Linked DNA regions of Oryza sativa Japonica Group. The main gene of each other region encodes a partner of the protein of the gene in region 3 in a complex. Links are inferred from orthologs where the notes say so. Each region holds a gene or a part of one and is shown on either strand. Other genes may lie near its edges. The genes, in order: COP9 signalosome complex subunit 7, COP9 signalosome complex subunit 8, COP9 signalosome complex subunit 3 and COP9 signalosome complex subunit 4.

What was found.
Region 1: COP9 signalosome complex subunit 3 (region 3) and COP9 signalosome complex subunit 7 share a complex: the UniProt entries of both Arabidopsis thaliana proteins name them as parts of the CSN complex. The link is inferred for Oryza sativa Japonica Group from reciprocal best matches to the Arabidopsis thaliana genes COP13 and FUS5.
Region 2: the proteins of COP9 signalosome complex subunit 3 (region 3) and COP9 signalosome complex subunit 8 are in contact, whole or in part, in a cryo-EM structure (PDB 9IS6), measured with the Arabidopsis thaliana proteins. The link is inferred for Oryza sativa Japonica Group from reciprocal best matches to the Arabidopsis thaliana genes COP13 and COP9. Residues at the interface, in NP_568296.1 of Arabidopsis thaliana: Asp121, Leu123, Arg124, Pro128, Ala157, Lys158, Gly193, Leu194, Lys195, Lys332, Glu335, Met336, Leu339, Gln340, Ile342, Gln343, Ala349, Leu350, Ile351, Asn352, Gln353, Lys354, Asp377, Ile380, Gln381, Ile384, Lys388; in NP_193147.1 of Arabidopsis thaliana: Met26, Leu27, Ala30, Ser31, Gly33, Ile34, Glu35, Tyr36, Asp56, Phe60, Arg64, His89, Tyr91, Leu125, Ser128, Ala129, Tyr130, Ser131, Thr132, Ile133, Thr134, Asp137, Phe141, Met166, Arg187, Glu190, Tyr191, His194.
Region 4: COP9 signalosome complex subunit 3 (region 3) and COP9 signalosome complex subunit 4 share a complex: the UniProt entries of both Arabidopsis thaliana proteins name them as parts of the CSN complex. The link is inferred for Oryza sativa Japonica Group from reciprocal best matches to the Arabidopsis thaliana genes COP13 and COP8.

What each region holds. Positions count from the first base shown.
Region 1 is NC_089041.1:18,479,917-18,484,746, forward strand, and holds the start of COP9 signalosome complex subunit 7, read right to left. Parts: upstream 3,319-4,830; 5' UTR 3,242-3,318; coding exon 3,071-3,241; intron 2,939-3,070; coding exon 2,863-2,938; intron 2,266-2,862; coding exon 2,177-2,265; intron 1,444-2,176; coding exon 1,354-1,443; intron 1,146-1,353; coding exon 1,101-1,145; intron 1,012-1,100; coding exon 941-1,011; intron 313-940; coding exon 180-312; intron 1-179. UniProt on the Arabidopsis thaliana protein: Component of the COP9 signalosome complex (CSN), a complex involved in various cellular and developmental processes such as photomorphogenesis and auxin and jasmonate responses.
Region 2 is NC_089038.1:21,626,769-21,631,603, forward strand, and holds the start of COP9 signalosome complex subunit 8, read right to left. Parts: upstream 3,018-4,835; 5' UTR 2,916-3,017; coding exon 2,832-2,915; intron 2,741-2,831; coding exon 2,664-2,740; intron 2,553-2,663; coding exon 2,371-2,552; intron 1,465-2,370; coding exon 1,357-1,464; intron 97-1,356; coding exon 1-96. UniProt on the Arabidopsis thaliana protein: Component of the COP9 signalosome complex (CSN), a complex involved in various cellular and developmental processes such as photomorphogenesis and auxin and jasmonate responses.
Region 3 is NC_089042.1:1,060,128-1,065,170, forward strand, and holds the start of COP9 signalosome complex subunit 3, read left to right. Parts: upstream 1-1,720; 5' UTR 1,721-1,851; coding exon 1,852-2,039; intron 2,040-2,165; coding exon 2,166-2,287; intron 2,288-2,424; coding exon 2,425-2,671; intron 2,672-2,753; coding exon 2,754-2,811; intron 2,812-2,886; coding exon 2,887-2,976; intron 2,977-3,937; coding exon 3,938-4,000; intron 4,001-4,403; coding exon 4,404-4,493; intron 4,494-4,686; coding exon 4,687-4,845; intron 4,846-4,920; coding exon 4,921-5,042; intron 5,043-5,043. Other genes in the region: probable adenylate kinase 7, mitochondrial, read left to right, coding at 1-119, 672-824. UniProt on the Arabidopsis thaliana protein: Component of the COP9 signalosome complex (CSN), a complex involved in various cellular and developmental processes such as photomorphogenesis and auxin and jasmonate responses.
Region 4 is NC_089037.1:5,165,449-5,169,075, forward strand, and holds the end of COP9 signalosome complex subunit 4, read right to left. Parts: intron 3,499-3,627; coding exon 3,390-3,498; intron 2,684-3,389; coding exon 2,639-2,683; intron 2,554-2,638; coding exon 2,485-2,553; intron 2,403-2,484; coding exon 2,311-2,402; intron 2,236-2,310; coding exon 2,193-2,235; intron 1,866-2,192; coding exon 1,806-1,865; intron 1,648-1,805; coding exon 1,588-1,647; intron 1,287-1,587; coding exon 1,212-1,286; 3' UTR 983-1,211; downstream 1-982. Other genes in the region: vicilin-like seed storage protein At4g36700, read left to right, coding at 1-474. UniProt on the Arabidopsis thaliana protein: Component of the COP9 signalosome complex (CSN), a complex involved in various cellular and developmental processes such as photomorphogenesis and auxin and jasmonate responses.

The DNA.
Region 1 (4,830 bases), on a different chromosome or scaffold from region 3:
GGGTCAACAGGTCATCAGAAGAATGAGGAACATAGAAAAACATCATAAGAATTATGCAAAAGCCTGATGTTCGCTAGAAAAAACAAAACAGATGCAAGTTTTTTTTCCTTTTTTACTGTTCATCATTCAATATCTGAAAAACTACAGTATAGTTGGTGCTTCAAATTGATCCAACTCACCTTGATTGATTTTTTGGCTTCTTCTACCTTGTCTTCGAACTCTTTCTGGTGCTTCTTGTTCACTTCACTCATTGTATCAGCCCACTTAATTTTCTCCTGAATCTGATGCAATAAATTATCCGATGTTCCCAGCCTGTGCAATTTACATCAGCATGAGTTGGTACCAATAAACTTCCATTGGTCCCGTTAACATGCACCTCATAATGTTTCAACATAAAATGGACCGAGTAAAAATGTCAAAGCACGAGCATATAAACTGATTACTTGTGAAATGTCAAAAGCACAATATCAGCACCAAATGATGCATATACACTATTGTCTAAATGAAAAACCTCAGAGGTTATTCATCTTTTAACAAATTCAAGGAAACACTTCTATATGATTTAAAACATAAAGCTATGAACTGACAATAAAAACAATGGATAGTGTATAATTAAAACTTAAAAAGGTTAAAAGGCAGACAGAGTGGGTTGGCAAGAGAAGACACAATTTCACATTATCCCTACAGCACCCAACTACAAAAAACAACCAAAACCATACCATCTACAATAGTAGCCTGAAGGGACAACACACATGGAGTCTAGAACAAATAAACATAGCAAAATAACCCAGCCGCAGTTCCCATAACACATGACCTCAATGTATCTTTCAGAAGGTCATATCAGATATGAGGGAGAACCATATATAAATGCAAACATTAAAACTTCTGTGAACAAAAAATAGGGATGGGATGCAACAATCACTCAAGTAAAGGTACACACCAGTCAGATAATGTATCTATCATATTGTTCAGCTGATCAGGTGTAAGATCCCTTCCAGTTGCAAATTGTACCTGTCAAGTACAGACAGAATTTAGGGGGATCATTTGCCAGCTAAACAATGAAACCATGAACAATGTACTTGTAAGAACAAGCATCTGACCTCAAAACACCTCCGCAGCTGATCCAATTTGCCCCTGACAATACCCTAGGGAAGCAATTAAACGTTAATATTTGACTAGAATACTAGCATCTATGGTGTAAAAGTTCAAGAAACAAACCGATGATCCTAAAGGCTAGAGAGCTTACAAGAGCAATAATCCACACAAGATATATTTGTAATGACATGGTTTTTGTTAGGGAGGTTAGAAGATGGAAAATAGAGATTTAAGTGCCTAAGGCAAAAAAATTCTCACCGAGTACATGCACTCATTGATGAGGAAATCTTCGAGTTCTCTTACATTGGAAACATCCAATTCTTGCATGAGTTGATCATATGGTAGCACCTGAATAGAAATGATAATAAAAACCAAGCACATTTAGTATTGTCTAAAGCAAAAACATAGAACAGAGTTTTAAGGTAAAAGATAATACTACATGAACTTGACTTCCAGTGCACACTCAAACAGGCTATGCACATAAAGAATAAGATAGTATTCACAGATAGTGTAAAGCTAAATTGGGCACACATAATAGGATGGAAGAAGCTTGTTTCTGGCATTGGTTGTTATCTGTTCAGAGAATCACTATCACTTAACACATATAACTGCATAGAACTATTTCCCATCATACGTAAAGAAAGAAGAATGAAAAACCTAGATAATAAACATGCAGACCAGCTATTATTTGATGAAACAACTGTGAGGATACATTTGGATCTTAAATTATCTTTGCTCAGCCTGGCATAAACCTGCTCATTTCATCTATGGCCCACATAAGCAAGGCAGCGAGGCACGATATTTGGTGCCATCAACAGTTCATGCTCACATGCTTGTCGATGAAGATGGGGCCATTTTTTCTCTCCTTTGACAGCAAGTTTTTTCTGACAATTGTTAAGCTAGATTGACAGAGAAAGTTAGATTTGTTTTCTTTTACTACCAAATGATAACTCCCCTTGCTATGCAAGGCTAAAATCCCCATTGCCAAGGATCTAAACGCTCCCTTAGTAACTTTATGTACACAGGATAAGCAAAAAAAAAAATGCATAGCATATTAGACAGTATCAGCCTAAATTTGCACCTTGGTTGACTCAGCCAAAGTTAGCACGCTGAGTTGCTTCAGCTTCCGGACTTGATCAGGTAACAATGCAGGGAGATTGCCAGAATTACCTACATGTATGAAAATTAAAAACAATTAATGAAACAGTAAATGTTCATGTTCTGCACTTATCTGATATTACTATAAACAGAGAATACCACAAACTGCAGACCGTTTTAATGACATGCCGATGAGAGAGGAAACAACAAAATTCTAGCAACCACAGCCTGACACACACTGATCATATTGGTGGGTGAAAAGGCAAATTGATTGTCACAGCTCAAATTATGATTTCAAGCACAGAAATGTGATAATTCTATCCACATATTGTTGCAGAATATAAACCATAAGACAAAGATGAATTATGATTAATTAGTATGTGAATCCCATCAAAAAATTAACCTATAACAATATAACACAAAAAAAAAGTGTGAATTAACATTAACACAAATCAGCACTATTGTTAACCATTAAACATATGGGCTATGGCCCTCACATGCCAATCGCGTCCATGGTAAGCGGCTATTTCATAGGGCGTACCCCTAACACACAACAACAAGACAATGCACTAGACTCACGCACCAAATAAGCATACACATATGACGCATGACAACACATACATAAGGGCAATGTAATGTACGAATCGCAACGGGAGGGGGTGATCTTACTCTTGTAGTCCTTCAATGTCCCATAGGCGAAGAGGCGGAGCACGTCCAGAGACGACGCATACTGCGTTCCAGTGAGCTGCATCAACGAACTGACATTAGATCGAAATCAGAGGGGGGAGGAGAGGTGGTCCACCCCCAAAACCCTAACCCTAAACACGCGCGGCGCGGCGGGGCGCAGGCGGAGCGAGAGGCGGGGGGTCCCTTATACCTTGGAGAGGGCGGGGAGGGAGAGGAGCTCGGAGAAGGCGAAGAGGGCCGGGTGGGAGGTGGCCTCGAGCACGAGCGCCGCCAGCTGCGGCGCCGACGAGGAGAGGGCGGCCGCCTGCGCGGAGAACTGCTCGATCAGCTCCGCCTGCCGCCGCTCCGCGTCCATCGCCATCGCCGCCGGCGATTTGCCCGGGGGGCTAGTACGCGCTAGGGTTTGGGGGATCGGGGTTTCGCTTTCTTTTCGGTTTCGTTCGCCTCGGTGATATTCTCTGTGTTTTGTGGGATTGTAGTGGGGAGAGTGGGTTTCGGGTTCGGTTGGGCTCCACGGTGGTGGGTGGTGCTGGTGTCCGGCTCGTTGCCGCATACTCGTGCTCGGGAGTCGGGGCCTGGAGGGCCACGGTCGCTTGGGCTGCGTGTCGACGTGGGGGATTGCTGCCATTAAGAATGCATCTTCCCCGTTTAGACACCAATTTTTTTTTAGCCTTCTTATTACTCCTCCTCCATCTGCTTTTGATAGTCATATTTTATCTTGACACACAGATCAAGGATAAATAATTCTACTTATCATCCATTTAAACATGCTACTAGTCATTTCTCGTAAACAAGCGATTCATTAATATTTACATTTCTCGATGCCCATGCAACCAATCTTGTGTGGAAGAATGGAGAGTCATGCATTAAATCTGAGAAAGTCATTAAGATGATAAGTTGTTGGATTGAAATATGCCTATCAAAAATAAATTTTTCAAATTTGAAAATATAACTATCAAAAGTAGATGGAGAGAGTATTATACTGCCAAAATAAACATTTTTCAAATTTTAGCAATACCAAAATTTTGTCAAGTTGACAATATTACTAAATTTTGATAGGATAGAGCGATAGACTAAATATGTTGTTGTCAAAATTCTCTAGGCATTAACAATGTTTGGTAACAAACTAAATACATTCACATGTTACATGTTTAGCTCATCCACATACATATTTTTGGATAGCCGATATAATTCGTTGCCTAATCTGTTCTACCTCATCAATGATCTGGGTATCGACTGCATCAGATCCAAGAATTACTTTCAGGGACTTGATTAGATCAGCTAGATGTTTGACAGAAGATTTGAGCTATGATCTCTGATCCTCAGTAGCTTTGGGCAGATCGGCAAGTTTATGTTCTTCAATAGCAATATGTGCATTGCACTGCTCCAATTCGGCTAGGAGTTCTATCTTCCGAGTATTCAGCCGATCTATGTTGGCTTGAGTGGACCTTGGACCAGCTTCCAACTCATCAAGTTTTGCCTTTTCTTCATTAATAGAAGTCCTACTAGCCTGGATGGTGGCCTCAAGATCTTTTCTTTCACGGCGATCAGCAACCCTTTGTTTAGCCTTTTCAAGCTTGAGCTGATGCTGTTCGAGGTATGCCGCTGGGGTGATAACATCGGCTAGTTCATCTGGGAGTTGGTCGTAGATTACAAGGAATCTATCTCTGATTGATCCACAACTGACCACCAGAGTTTCTAGGGAGCCTTCAAGCCACTTTGAGATATCCAGCAAGGTTGTTTTCACATTATCGGCTAGAGGCACCAAGGCTTTACTTGTAGTTTCTTCCTCTTCATCCATAAACTACCTGATGTCAAAAGAAAACATATCGGCTAGAACATGAAAAAGGGGAATATTGAGGTTACTGATTAGTAGAAGTAACATGATAGCCGATATGATTTGTGGATTCAAAAGAGGCACTTACAGGGATGGCAGGGGCTGGTGCTACT
Region 2 (4,835 bases), on a different chromosome or scaffold from region 3:
TGCTTGCATCGAGCTTCTGGTTAGTCTTAACCTTTGGTTTTACGACAGTAAGCATCCTGGCTGCCGCATCCAAGCTCCAACCGTTTTGCATGGCATCTGTAATGATTATTAAGACAACTATTGTCATCAGCTTCTGAAGCAGGCAAATATCATGCAGAAAGTCAAACACAATAGCATAATAAAATTTGCAGAACTAAAAATGCTTCAAATACAGAGGGATGCTTATTCCAAAAATATTCAATATGTTTTTCAATATGTTTCAAATATAGCAAGTTTTAGTTATAGCCATAGAAAGAGGGATACACGAGCCTTGATGCATTGACCACAAAAAAAAAATAATTTTCAATATGTTACATGAATGACCTACGAAAAATTTTGGTAATTAGAAGGAAGAAGAATGCATTCACTATATTGAAATGGTAAAATGAAGACAACTCTTTTTGAGTGGGTTGTGCCAAAATTTCTACTAATTTTATACTCCACAACAGTACTCAAGCCAACAGAGATAGCCAATTAGATGTGAAATTGTGGATATACCTCATTGTGAACATCAAAATCAATGGGCCAGCATTATCACAATGATCAAAACAAACTAAAATTCATGCACACAAAAGTATGTTTAATTTTGACACAACCGAGTCTCAAAGACAACAAAATATCTGACACTTTATTCAAACCTAGAATGTACAATGCTCAATCCAGGAGAAATGTGGACAACACTGATGGCACAAAATGGAATTCAAGTATTGTATGAAGGAGAGGTTTCTATTTTCTATTGTGAAAGGAAAGTAATGTAATATGCAGTGTTATAATCCAGTCAGTACAATAGAAGTGCTACCCAAAAGAAGTCCATAGGGGCACCATCATTGTTTTAGAGTTTTAGAGTTGGACACGGTTATTAAGAAAGTAGATAGAAGTGAATGGTGGAGGGTTGTAATTGGATGAGTAGTGGAGGTAGGTGGGAAAAGTGAATGGTGGAGGGTTGTGATTGGTTGGAAAGAGAATGTTGGTGGAGAAGTTGTTATATTTTGGGACAAATCCTGAGGGTTAAAAGTTGTTATATTTTGAGACATAGGGAGAAACATTTACCTTCCAAAATTCAAGGAACTTGCAAAAACACATATTGGACGAAAGATTATAATCTATGAAGAAATGCTATGGAAGTTGAAAAGGATGCAGTGTATCCTAAAATTGGGACTTTGGATGATTTCTACAGATAAAGATGACTAAAAACACCATATTAACCATGTCAGAACTTCTATGATCTATACTGTTGATTAACATGAAGATAGTCAGAACATTGTACTTAACATTAAAAAACATAGTACAGCAACAAGATAGTTTCAGAAAATGTACAGTTAGTAGCATCCTCCTCATTCATCCCCATGAAGTGAGCCACATCAGCAACGCTGATTGTGGAATATGCAGAAGTCAACAACTGGAAAATCCTCTTTCTGTAGCTTTCTGTGTAATCAGAAAACAATATTGGATATTCAAGTTAACCAATTATAAATACTAAAAAAAATATAAAACAGCAGGCTTTATACTTATTTCCTAATATAAAAATAATACTAGAAGATTAGTTGGTTAAACAAGCAAAAGGGAAACAATCATGATGTTATTAACTTATTATCCTGATTGACGTATTATTATGGTATATGTCATAGTAAGCACTTCATGGAAAGAACTTAACTTCTCTAGTTCCACTACTGTGTCACAATGACTGCTGGTAAAATGTTAACAATCACCTTATAAAAAAGTGCAAATGTTTAATTATAATGCTATTACATTAATACATTCAACAGTTTCACTCATAAATGATAACTACAAAGTGTTTATTTTGATTGAAGCATGAGTTAATGAACATCCTCTGTGCATCTAGAATTGTTGCATCATGTTGTCAATTAGAAGTAAAAATAGGAACAAAACTGAACTTCTTGGGAACCAAACTCTTATGAGCAGCCTGAAAATAATCAAATCACTAGTCCTTATTAAGGAGATAGTATAAACCCACTGAACAAGGCTATCTTAGGAAGCAAGTATTTCCAAGATAAACACTTTAACCATTACACTACGCAGCACAAAACTCTACTAACGGGCACTCTACTAATAGTAACTTTGCGTATTCATTAAGGAAGCTGATTCAGCCTGATTGTGCAGATAAATCGTTTCCACAATTACTCCATGAAGTATATGTATGCACATCTGAATCTCCCGACTTCCCAACCCACACCACAAAGTGGTGACCTCCAACACAATACTACCACAGTATGCAATTCATTCTAGTAAGCAATACAACTTTGCACAAAGACACAGAATAATTCAACTGTTGCACGTTTCCATCATGAACAGTAAAGCAACAACCAGTACCTAGGAAGGCGGCCACGAAGTCGGCGATTTCAGGGCTCCACTCGAACCCCTGCGCGGCCGCGTAGACGCCCGCGTAATCGCGGTTCCAGAGGCACTGCCCGATCCTCCAGACGGCGGCGAGCTCCGGCCGCGCGTCCTTCGCCTCCTGCGGCGTCGACTTCCACAGAAACCTCGCGCTGTTCCTGCTCACACACGCACCCACCCAGAAACACAAAAACAACATTAATCCCGGAAGCCCTAGCCCAGAAAAATTCCATGGGAGAGAGGTGGGGGAGCAGATCGCGGGGCGTTACAGGTCGTTGAGGTAGAGGTGGGCGAGGAGGTGCACGGCGTAGGGCCAGCCGTCGGTGGCGGCGCCCCGGGACGCGGCCTGCGCGAGGAACACCGAGTCAGGAGCGCTACGCTAACCCTCCTCGCGTCGCGGGAGGCGGGAGAGGGGTGGGGAGGGGAGGGATTGGTACCTGGAGGAAGAGGTCGTCGCAGAGCGGGGCGACGGAGGAGTAGGACTTGCCGGCGAGGGCGGCGTGGACGGCGGCGAGATCCATCGGAGGAGGAGGTGGCGGTGGTGGCCGGCCGCCGGCGGGCCGAGGCGAGGGGAGAAGAGGGGAAGGGTTTTTGGAGTTCGAGTAAAATTCGGAATTTGGGGCAGATTTGGAGAAATTTCAGGAAAGGAAATAAACGGGGGGAAGAAAAAACCCACGTGTAATCGTGTATCTCTCTGGCCCATCTGACATGTCCGGCCCAGGCTGGCCCGCGAGGGATAGGGTTGTTTCTTTCTCCAACATATACTGCAGTTTTTTTTTCTTTTTGAGATTACATGGCAGACTCTAAGAGACGGAAATCAGCCAAACATCTTTTATGTTACTAAAACCCTGCTAAAAGTTCACCTAGATTTGATTTCTTTATGAGATAACATGGCAGACTCTAAGAGATGGAGATCGGTGAAACATCTATTATCTTATTAGGATTTAAACCCTAGTGGATGGAGCCATGCACCCACGACTCCATCACCACCCACTAGTGCTTCCCCAACATGCTGCAAATTTGACTACTATTTGATTCAAATTTGGAAGTAGATTGAATACTACTACTGGTTGGTTTTGTCTATTTAGAGAGAGCGGTGTTTTATTGGTTATGGTAAATCATTACTACAAAGTATCTCCCGAATACACTCCAAGGTTACGTTACGGTGCATAACATCACTAGAATGTTCACAGAAACGAGCTAATAAATGAGTCGCGGCATTCAACATAGATAAACATGATTAAAACTAATAGAGGAGAAACCCACTGCTATGACCTTGATGTCTGCAATCACTATGCCATTTGAAGATTGGTCCATGGATAATGAGTTAACTCTCCGTATGACTGCATTCAGAATTACTAGCGTTTTGAAAACCTTCTTCGCAAGTGAGAGCAACAACGCGGCGTAGAGCCAATGCTTCAGCAAGCTATACTATGGTAACCTCTTTTGTGCGCTCATTGCAAGCCAATAAATCACAGGTGTAGTTTTTTATTACCATGCCCACTCCCATTCGACGTGTTTACTGAAAAGTTGCAGCATCAACATTGATAGCAACAACATCACGGTTTTATTTGAATGAGTTGATTCGAAACAAATTAAATACTATTTGATGGTAGTTTGAATGAGTTGAATAAAAACTGTTACGAAATGAGTAAATTGCACAGAACTATTCGTAACTACAAATTTATGTATATCACAAAATTACAATTTTAACATCAATATTATTATAAAACTACTAGTTTCAAGAGTTTATATTTGGGTTGAGCTACATGCTATGATTGTGTGATAAAATTAGTGTTCAAATTTGTAGATCTACAATATTATGCATTAGACCTGTAGTATTGTGGTAAATTTGATGCTATTGTGATACACCCTCTTAAGTCTGTAGTTTAATGTAAGTTTGGGTAAAATTGTAATACTGTCATAAATTTAGATCAAAATTTGTGCTTTTCTCATACACCCTATAAAAATTATAATTATTGTTTTGCGATAGTATGGTAAGGTGGTTCTTGGTACAAAGGGCCTTAGGAAGTATCCACTTGATGAACTACATTCATATAGGCTTAATCTCCTCCTGACTAAAGGCCTATTTGTAATGGATAAATTTTGGAAGCTGTTTATGAGAAATTAAATTAAATTGTTTGAAAATCCTGTAAATTACAGACATTCTGGGACTTTTGCAGTTGGAGGATTGGAGTGCCTCCATGCCAGATGGACAGATATTTATATATAAATCAATCATCGTAACATTAAACTGCAGGAACAGAAGCATGTTGTTTCACAATCACTAACAATTAGTGGAATCAGGCAATCAGCTAATCCGAATGTCAAACAGCTGCCCAGTTAGAATTACGCGAAACATGCACAGGAAAGTCGAGCAAAAACATATGCAACGTCACCATATCCAATTCAAAAGCGAGTTCGATACGATTTGCACATTC
Region 3 (5,043 bases):
CGTCTTCAGACCGTAATCCGAGCCTTGGGAGCTGTACATGGCCTTCTCAGGTGCAACATGCTGCAGTTTTAGGTCTGGAGGACTCGAGAATGGAGAAGATGCGTGCTTATGCTGAACAGGTATTTTCAGGCCACCCAAACTTATTGGGTCTATTACTAGCATTGATCTGATGAGCTTTGCATTGCACCATGCACCCAATGAGGCCTGCTTTATGTATCACCTGATTGCATACCTAGGGATGGCAATGGGTTGGGTTGGGTTGGGCACGGACGGAGCAGGAACATGCCCGACCCATAACCGAATGGGCCAAGGGAGAGATGGGGCCAAAAATCAGCCATAGATATACAAAACTTGGGTCGGGCATGGGTTACCCATGGGCAAAATAGAAAACCTGGCGGCACCCACTAAGGTCTTGGGTCGAGCGTGCCCCTGGGCAAAAAATCGAACCCATGCCCATCGGGCACAGCGCCCGCGGGTACCTGGATCCATGGGCAAGATTGCCAATTTGCCATCTATATGCACACCCCTAAAAACTTGCATTTTCAGAAACAAGAAGTTTAAACTCTGAGAGGAATTGTGAGGCATGATACTAGTTCTTATGGAGTTCTCTAGCTTTGTTCTTGTAGTACAGTAACATGATAAACTCTAAATGTGAAACTCTCAATATGCAGACCAAGCTACTGGAAGACTACTACAGGAAACAGAGAAAACTTATGGAATTGAAGACATCAGCTCGCCCTGGAGAAACATGGCAGGGACTTGTCGCTGCCCTACATCTCCAGCATCTGGATGCATCCCCGACGCCGCACAAACTCACTATGTAAATATCGTTTGTGTGTTGTCTGAGAAAGATCAAAGAACTTGAGTCTAAGGATCTAGATTGTGATCCTAGCCTGCAACATATGTAGTATTCCTATCCTATGTTTGTGGATTCTGACTTCTGAGGAGTCAGCCGGCTGTCATTTTTGTCTCTCTGTTTTCATAGATATAAATGTAAGCGATTTTGCGGACGCACTTATATGTTTGTAATGAAGAATACTGGACTTGCGAGTGCAAGTATACCAGCTTGTTTTCCTCCTTATCAGTTCTTCTATACTGTCTTGTTTACATAGATGATATATCGTATCTCCTGCTTTGATCTTAGTTCTTGAGTATTCCATCAGTGAAGCCGATGAAATCTTGGAAGCGTCTGTAAGTTTTGGAAAAGAATACAGTTTCCTGTGTAATATCCATTTTTGCTAGGTCACCTGGGCACTGAGAATAGTTGTAAAACAGAGATTGTGGAGTGACTATCTGCATTCCAGTTTGGTAGCTGTTCATGATGAACCTCTGTTTCTATCTCAACTCAAGGTGTTTTCTGATTGTGGACTGTTTGACCTCCAGTTTGGACTGTAGGAATTTCGTCAGTTTTTGTAAAACTTGCATTCACATGCAAGAGCTACACAGGAAATTGATGTACAGTTTCTCCATATATTGTCAGGCGAAACCACCTCCAGTTCAGTGAATTTATGATTCAAATGCACACGAGCATCTGCAAATTCAAACTTCTGTTTTGAATAACAAAAAAAAAATCAAACTTCCTTTCGAAGCATATTTGGATTCGATTTTGTCAGATCACATCTGAATCTGCTACAAACGGCACAGATTACACCCCCCCACTCAAACGGACGGTCCAGATCCCCGCACAATTAAATCGATCTCGCCATCAAAATCTCTCCGCATCCAACCAAACAGGTCGACGCGAAGAGGAAGCCGCAGCACAAGAAAACCAAACCCCAACCGCGGCGACGCGAACGGCAAGCAAAACCCCCACACTTCCCGGCGGCGGCGGCGGCGGTGACGGCGGCGGCGATGGAGACGGTGGAGACGCTGGTGGCGCACATCCAGGGCCTCTCCGGGAGCGGGGAGGAGCTGGCCCACCTCCACAACCTTCTCCGGCAGGCCGACGGCGAGCCCCTGCGCGCCCACTCCGCCGCCCTCCTCCCCTTCCTCGCCCAGCTCCACCCGAGCGCCCACTCCCTCGGCTTCCTCTACCTCCTGTGAGTCCCGTCCCCTTGATGCCGCCGTCCGCGAAAACCCTAATCCCGTATGCTCGCCGAATCCAATCCGTCGCGCTAATCTACTTTTCCCCCACCTTGCGGGGGGTTGTTTCGTCCGTGATGCAGGGAGGCGTTCGCGTCTTCGGCTTCCAACCTGAGGGCGCAGGGCGGCGGGGACTTCCTGGTCACCACGGCCGATTTCCTCGTCTCCTGCTCGGCGGAGCAGATACGCTTGGCGCCTGATAAGTGTGCGTGCTGTTCAATGATCAAATCGAATCTATCTAATTCTGTCATGCATCGATTATTCGTTACTAGTACTAGAACATTATTCGTGGACTAAACATTCCACCTTTTTTTTTCTTCGATTTGTATTTTGTATGTGCAGTTCTGAGTGTGTGTAGGGTGTTCAAGAATGAGGTCATGCAGCTCAACGCGCCGATTAGAGGGATTGCCCCTCTGCGGGCGGCAATCCGCAAGATTCAGACTTCGTCTGAAGAGCTGACCCCGATCCATGCGGATTACCTTCTCCTGTGCCTGCTTGCGAAGCAGTACAAGGCTGGCCTAAGCGTCCTGGAAGACGACATACTCGAAGTTGATCAGCCAAAGGACTTATTCCTCTATTGCTACTATGGGTATATGGACGAATGTGCTTTATCCTTTATGGTTTTTTAATATGTACCGTTTGTTTACTTAACGGTTTTCCTTCTCTTGCAGGGGAATGATATACATTGGGCTGAAGAAGTTCACTATAGCACTGGATTTTCTTCACAATGTGAGGCTTTAAACATGTTAATTTTGTGTTTGATGTTTAATGGTTCAGTGTTTACAATGTTATGCATTTTTACAGGCTGTTACCGTCCCAATGTCATCATTGAATGCTATTGCTGTTGAAGCTTACAAGAAATACATCCTAGTTTCGCTCATTCAGAATGGGCAGGTATGTTCACCACTTCCTGCTTTGCGTCCTCTGCTGCTTTAGTGTGTGGAATTGTGGGACTTTTAGGGAAAGCTTGTTTTTCCTTAGCTTTGACCAGCGATCTGGTGCTCTCTAATTGATATACACCAGCTCTGGCTAAGATAAGATTTGTGGTAAAACATATGTGATATATGGTTGAGAAATTCAGATACCATTGCTAGATAAAGGTGAGTCTATATTTATGGTAAGCTTGTGAAACAAAGTATAATGCATGTAATGATAGGAACATGTACACAGGTGATGAAAGATAAGTTTAGTCAACCTCTAATTCCAAGCTAATTGGGTACTGTCCTTTTTCCTGTGTTAATGGGATAATAGGCTGGATGCCTAGGTTTGCATCCGCTGAATTGTGATCACAATCTTAGTGTTGCCATCTTTAATTGGTCCAATATTTTGGGCTCTCAAATGAAAACAACTACGGTTTTGTAAATGGGTTAAAAATTGGCAGCAGAAAAGCAGTATGGTACCCAACTCATAGGGATCCAAATCCATAAGCAGGTGGTTTAACCTTGATAGACAGAGATATACTACTCTAGTTAGTTTATCACTACTAAATTTCTGATCATGCATTCTCTTCCCACTTCTTGTATCAGGATATTTAGTTTTCCCGAAAATGTCGAATTTGCACACGTGCACTCAGCTTTAGCTTCTGGTCTTTAATGAGAGCTCAGATCTCCTAAAATTTGTTATGTTGATAGATCATCCTGTGGTATAAGAACTGCCAGTTGAACTGATGTGGTATATAATCTTCATAATTGTATTATGAGCTATAAGCTGGACATTTCTACATGTGCTCATCAAAAGATTTATTCTCTCCAATTTACTGGTTGCCCCTCCATAGCAATGCTAATAGGTTGTTATGTTCAATAGTTTATATAAAAAGGAGGATTACAAGCTGAGATTTATGCCATTTAAATGACAGGTTCCATCATTTCCAAAGTACACATCTTCAACTGCTCAAAGGAACCTCAAAAATCATGCTCAGGTATATTCAGGGAATCCTAGTTTCATCTGTCCCATGAAAGAATGTATGCTTGATAGTCGCATGCTGTTTAATGTAATGCTATAAGTGTTAGCCATGCCCCATGCTTTGTCTCATCGTTTGGTTTTTGATTTAGTGGTTTTTGATTCATTTTTGGCATGGTCAATGCTTTACCTTCTTTTTTTGTTTTGCTGCATAGTTTGTTCTCGGTATCAAGTACATTTGTTTTACTCACTAGAGGCAATGCTCACATTTTTATGTTCTACGTTACCGTCTATGCCACCCTAGATATAAAGGCTAAATTTTGCTCTTGATGCAAGTTCATCCTTTTTAGTGTTTAACTGCATACACCCTTTTTAGGTTGCTTCTGAAGTCATTAGTGCTCTGCGCTGTTCTTTTATTTCAGGTTTATGTTGACCTGTCAACATGCTACAGCAAAGGTAACTACTCTGAATTAGAGGAGTATATCCAGCTGAATGCTGAGAAGTTTCAATCGGTGAGTATTTCCTTTGTCAGTTGCTTGAGCTGCCCTCCTTACTATATCTATTTCCTTATCAGGAACTGTACTTAAGTTGCTATCTACTTGACGTGCTACGCATTATTTTGTTGACAGTTCTGCATGGCAAACCCATTTGTAGATTTATCTGAACCACCTCCTTCCTTTCCTCTGTTTTTTTTTTCTTTTTCAGGACAACAACCTTGGACTTGTGAAGCAAGTGCTCTCCTCAATGTACAAGCGAAACATCCAGAGGTTGACACAGACCTACTTGACTCTTTCGCTTGAGGATATTGCCAGCTCTGTTCAACTTAAAACCCCGAAGGAGGCTGAGATGCATGTGCTTAGGATGGTAGGTGTTTTTTGCCCCATACAGTCTGATCACATTATCTGTACTATCACATATTTTTACTTTTTGCCAATCCAGATTGAAGATGGTGAGATCCATGCAACCATAAACCAGAAGGATGGGATGGTCAGCTTTCATGAAGATCCTGAGCAATATAAAAGCTGTGAGATGGTTGAGCATATTGACTCGTCTATTCAAAGG
Region 4 (3,627 bases), on a different chromosome or scaffold from region 3:
CTGCTGTCGTCGCAGCGCGAGTCGACGATAATGGCGTGCACCTCCTGCGCGGAGGAGCTGGAGAGGAAGGCGGAGGAGGAGGAAGAGGGTGGTGGAGGGAAGGGGGAGAAAGAGCGGGAGGAGGAAGAGAGGAGGCAGCGGGAGAAAGAGGAGGAAGAAAGGAGGAGACAAGAAGAGGAGAGGAAGAGGAGGGAAGAAGAAGAGAAGGAAAGGAGAGAGCGGGAGGAGGAGGAAAGGAGGCAGAGGGAGAAGGAAGAGAAGAAGAGGAGGGAGGAAGAAGAGCAGAGGAGAGAAGAGGAAGAAGAAGAGCGGAGGAGAGAGGAAGAGGAGGAGGAGCAAGAGGATGGAAGAGGAGATGAGCCAAAACCGAGGAGGGAAGAGGAGGAAGGAGACTGGGGAGAGCGGCAGATTCGTTTGCCCAGGAGCTTGAAAAAACGCTTCATCGGAATCAAGGGCAGGCTCTCCAGTGGCTAAGCAAGTGAGCAGAGAGGGACATTTGGAGGTGAACGCGTCCAGCTACAGTAGTTTCTGCGTAAATAATGCTGGTCTTGCTCGTGTAGAGGCCGGCCTGCATACTACGTGCGTACTTTCGTTTCTTCCACTGTGTCGTGATGTAGCTGAGTTAAATAAGCTGTTGATGTGTATAATCGTAGCCTCCTCCCTTCCAAGAACCCGCCTGTAAACGGTTAAGTAAGCTGTTAATGTGTATAAACGTAGCTTTCCTCTCATGTTACATTGTTTTGGGCCGAGACTTGGAGACAGAAATCGAAGCACCTTCAAACAGGATCACTGTACCTAGCCTCCAATGGCTCGAGAAGGATGAGAGCCCTGCTCCAAGTCTGCAATCTACCCGCTCTTGCAATCGTCTGTCTCACCGTTCCTCCTAAGCAATCACTCACACTAAACCCACTCCGATCGGGGCTCGATCTGAGTATCCTGTCCCAACAACCATCATCATACCAGAAGAAAACAAGGCATAAAATGCTATCACGATCAATTTTGGTTTGTGATATAATGCCATTACGGCGCCACTGCCTTAATCTATCCAGCAGTTCACAACTTCACATGTACCGATCACCGACTAATTGTGGCCAAAATTCGTTCCGAAACATGACTGGTACTCGCAGCTGCGAACATCTGTACAAAATGTCCGTGAGGCCTGACGCCGTGACCACAGTTCTCACGAGTACCATCGAAGCAACTTGAAGAGCTCACACAGGAATAGCCATTCCCTTGCTTGACATGCTGTCCAGAATGTCGTTCAGCGCTTGGCACAGTCCCGCAATCTGAAACCACATCCGAGGTTTAGCGGTATGTATGTGGCTGTGTTCTCCCCGGCGCACGCTCGTATTGTTGCATAATTAATTAAGTATTAACTTTTTAAAAAAAAAGATTGATATGTTTTTTAAAACAACTTTTATATAGAAAGTTTTTGTATAAATCACACCGTTTAGCAGTTTGAAAAGTGTGCGCACGTAAAACAAGAAGTGGGTTGGGAAAATGGGGAAAGAGATATACTTGTGCAGAAAAAACTGGTGCCTAAGCTAATGCTAGAAACGCCAAGCACGAGTGTGCGGGTAAACTAACCTGTTGGTCCCACTGCTGCAGCTCTTCAGTGTCATCCTCAAAATGTATCACAGCTTCAACCTGTAAAATAAGCCAGGCGAGTTAATCTCATAACAACTTGAATTAAACCACAAACGGTAAAACATGGTTACAGTGTAAGTCTATTTCAGATGTCTGCTCGAAATGGTGGAATAGTATGAATATCAACATAAGGATTAAGGAAGTCATATGAATAAAACCTGATCAATTGAACCTCGCATCCTATCTTCATAAATCATTCGCGATGCTATCTTTTCAGCCTGCCAGCATCAAAATCAGTTGCAGTAAGACTCCAATTTGAATACTTTCATATTTAAAATCAAACATAAATAAAGAATTTATAGAGAAAATGCCAGTTCTTCCTGGTACCAGTTACAGGCCAGATGATTTGAACTATCCTATTTGATTTTAAATTGTGAAATTCGGTGGTTCTTCCCAGTTTGACTAGTTTCCAGCAAGTACCACTCAGAACCCATATATTCCAAATTCTTTTCTTTTTCTTAGTCATATGGACTTTGTGTGAATCTGTCTCTATAAACATGAAATGATGTATCATATCAACAGGAAAAATTAACCAAAATACTAACCTTCCTAGGGTCAATGCCCAATAATGCTCCAAGCTCATCAAAGCTACAGAAATAAATCAATAGTTGATCAGAATGATAAATCACAATGACCCAGGAAAATTTCAATGCAAAAACTAACCTGATATTAGTGTAAAGTTTACTGGCACTAAGGAGGTTATGCTCAATCATTGCCCGGTCAAGCACAGTAGACTTATCTGGTAACAGAGCTTTCTGTTGAACAGAAGAAAAATCCAGTCAATAAAATTACAAGCTACTACTACAAGTTATCTTGGAAGAGAGTATGTTCACTAACTTGATGCGGTCTCAGCTCCTCTGCAAATGCTTCAATTTCTGGTTTCCTCAAAATCCTTTCAAGAAAGACCTACACATTTGAAGTAGAAGGCCTGTCAATAAAGGGAGCTTATGCTCCAAATATAAATGCCAGGGGAGTATATCAAGATAGGCACCTTCTGCAGTATTGGGTATATCTTCAACTTTGAGCATCTCTCATCCTAAAGGGAAAAGACAGTATAAAATCATGCCACGAGTCATAATTTAAGCACCGCTATAATGAGAAAAATCAGATGCAAAACAATTGTATTTTCATGCTACTACAATGTTGATACAAGGTGTTGGTTCATTTGATGACCATGATTACAGATTGGTCAACATCAAACAGTATGAAACTATAAACTACCCACTGAAACTGGATGCTAGCATATTTATTAGTTTAGCAGAACTATAAAAAAAATCCTAAATAACTATTTGGAAGGATCTTGATATTAGTAATTCAATATCAAATGGGTTAAGTTTTTGTATAATGATGCCACATTCCAATGAGTTCGGAGACAATTCCTCTGTTTCAATATACATACTTTTTTCCCCGGAAAACATAAATTTTGGAGTGTACCAAGAATGATGTACAGTAAATGGGAATACAAATCACTGCGTAAGGGAGAGAAGCCACAGCATGTATATCATAGTAAGCTAAAGCCACAACCTATGGTGCTCCATAACAGAAACCAATCAATATCGATACAGAGCTCTGCAGAGCATCTGATAATTCAGATTTGTCCATTTGATAAACATGGCACAGGGAAAGGGCAAAGATGATTACGATAGTATGATACATAAAAAGTTATTGCAGACAATAAATGACATGTAGATATAACAAGCACTGCAAACCAGAATGTTATGATAAACCAACAAAGCAAATACCTTGTACAATGTAGCAAGAACACGAGATCGTTGCGGACCAGCACCAGCCAATATTGTGCATGTCACAGCAGCACTAAGAGCTTGCTCCAAAGCATTTTCATCGATCTCTCTGAGATCACATGCAGAGTGTTCCATCAGGAATTTTTATAAGTAGTATCAGCTGCTAATGTAACAACTGTAAAATTTAAGTGGAAATATCCAAGATGTTAATAGCAAGGGGGCAGGGGAATTGGAAAAT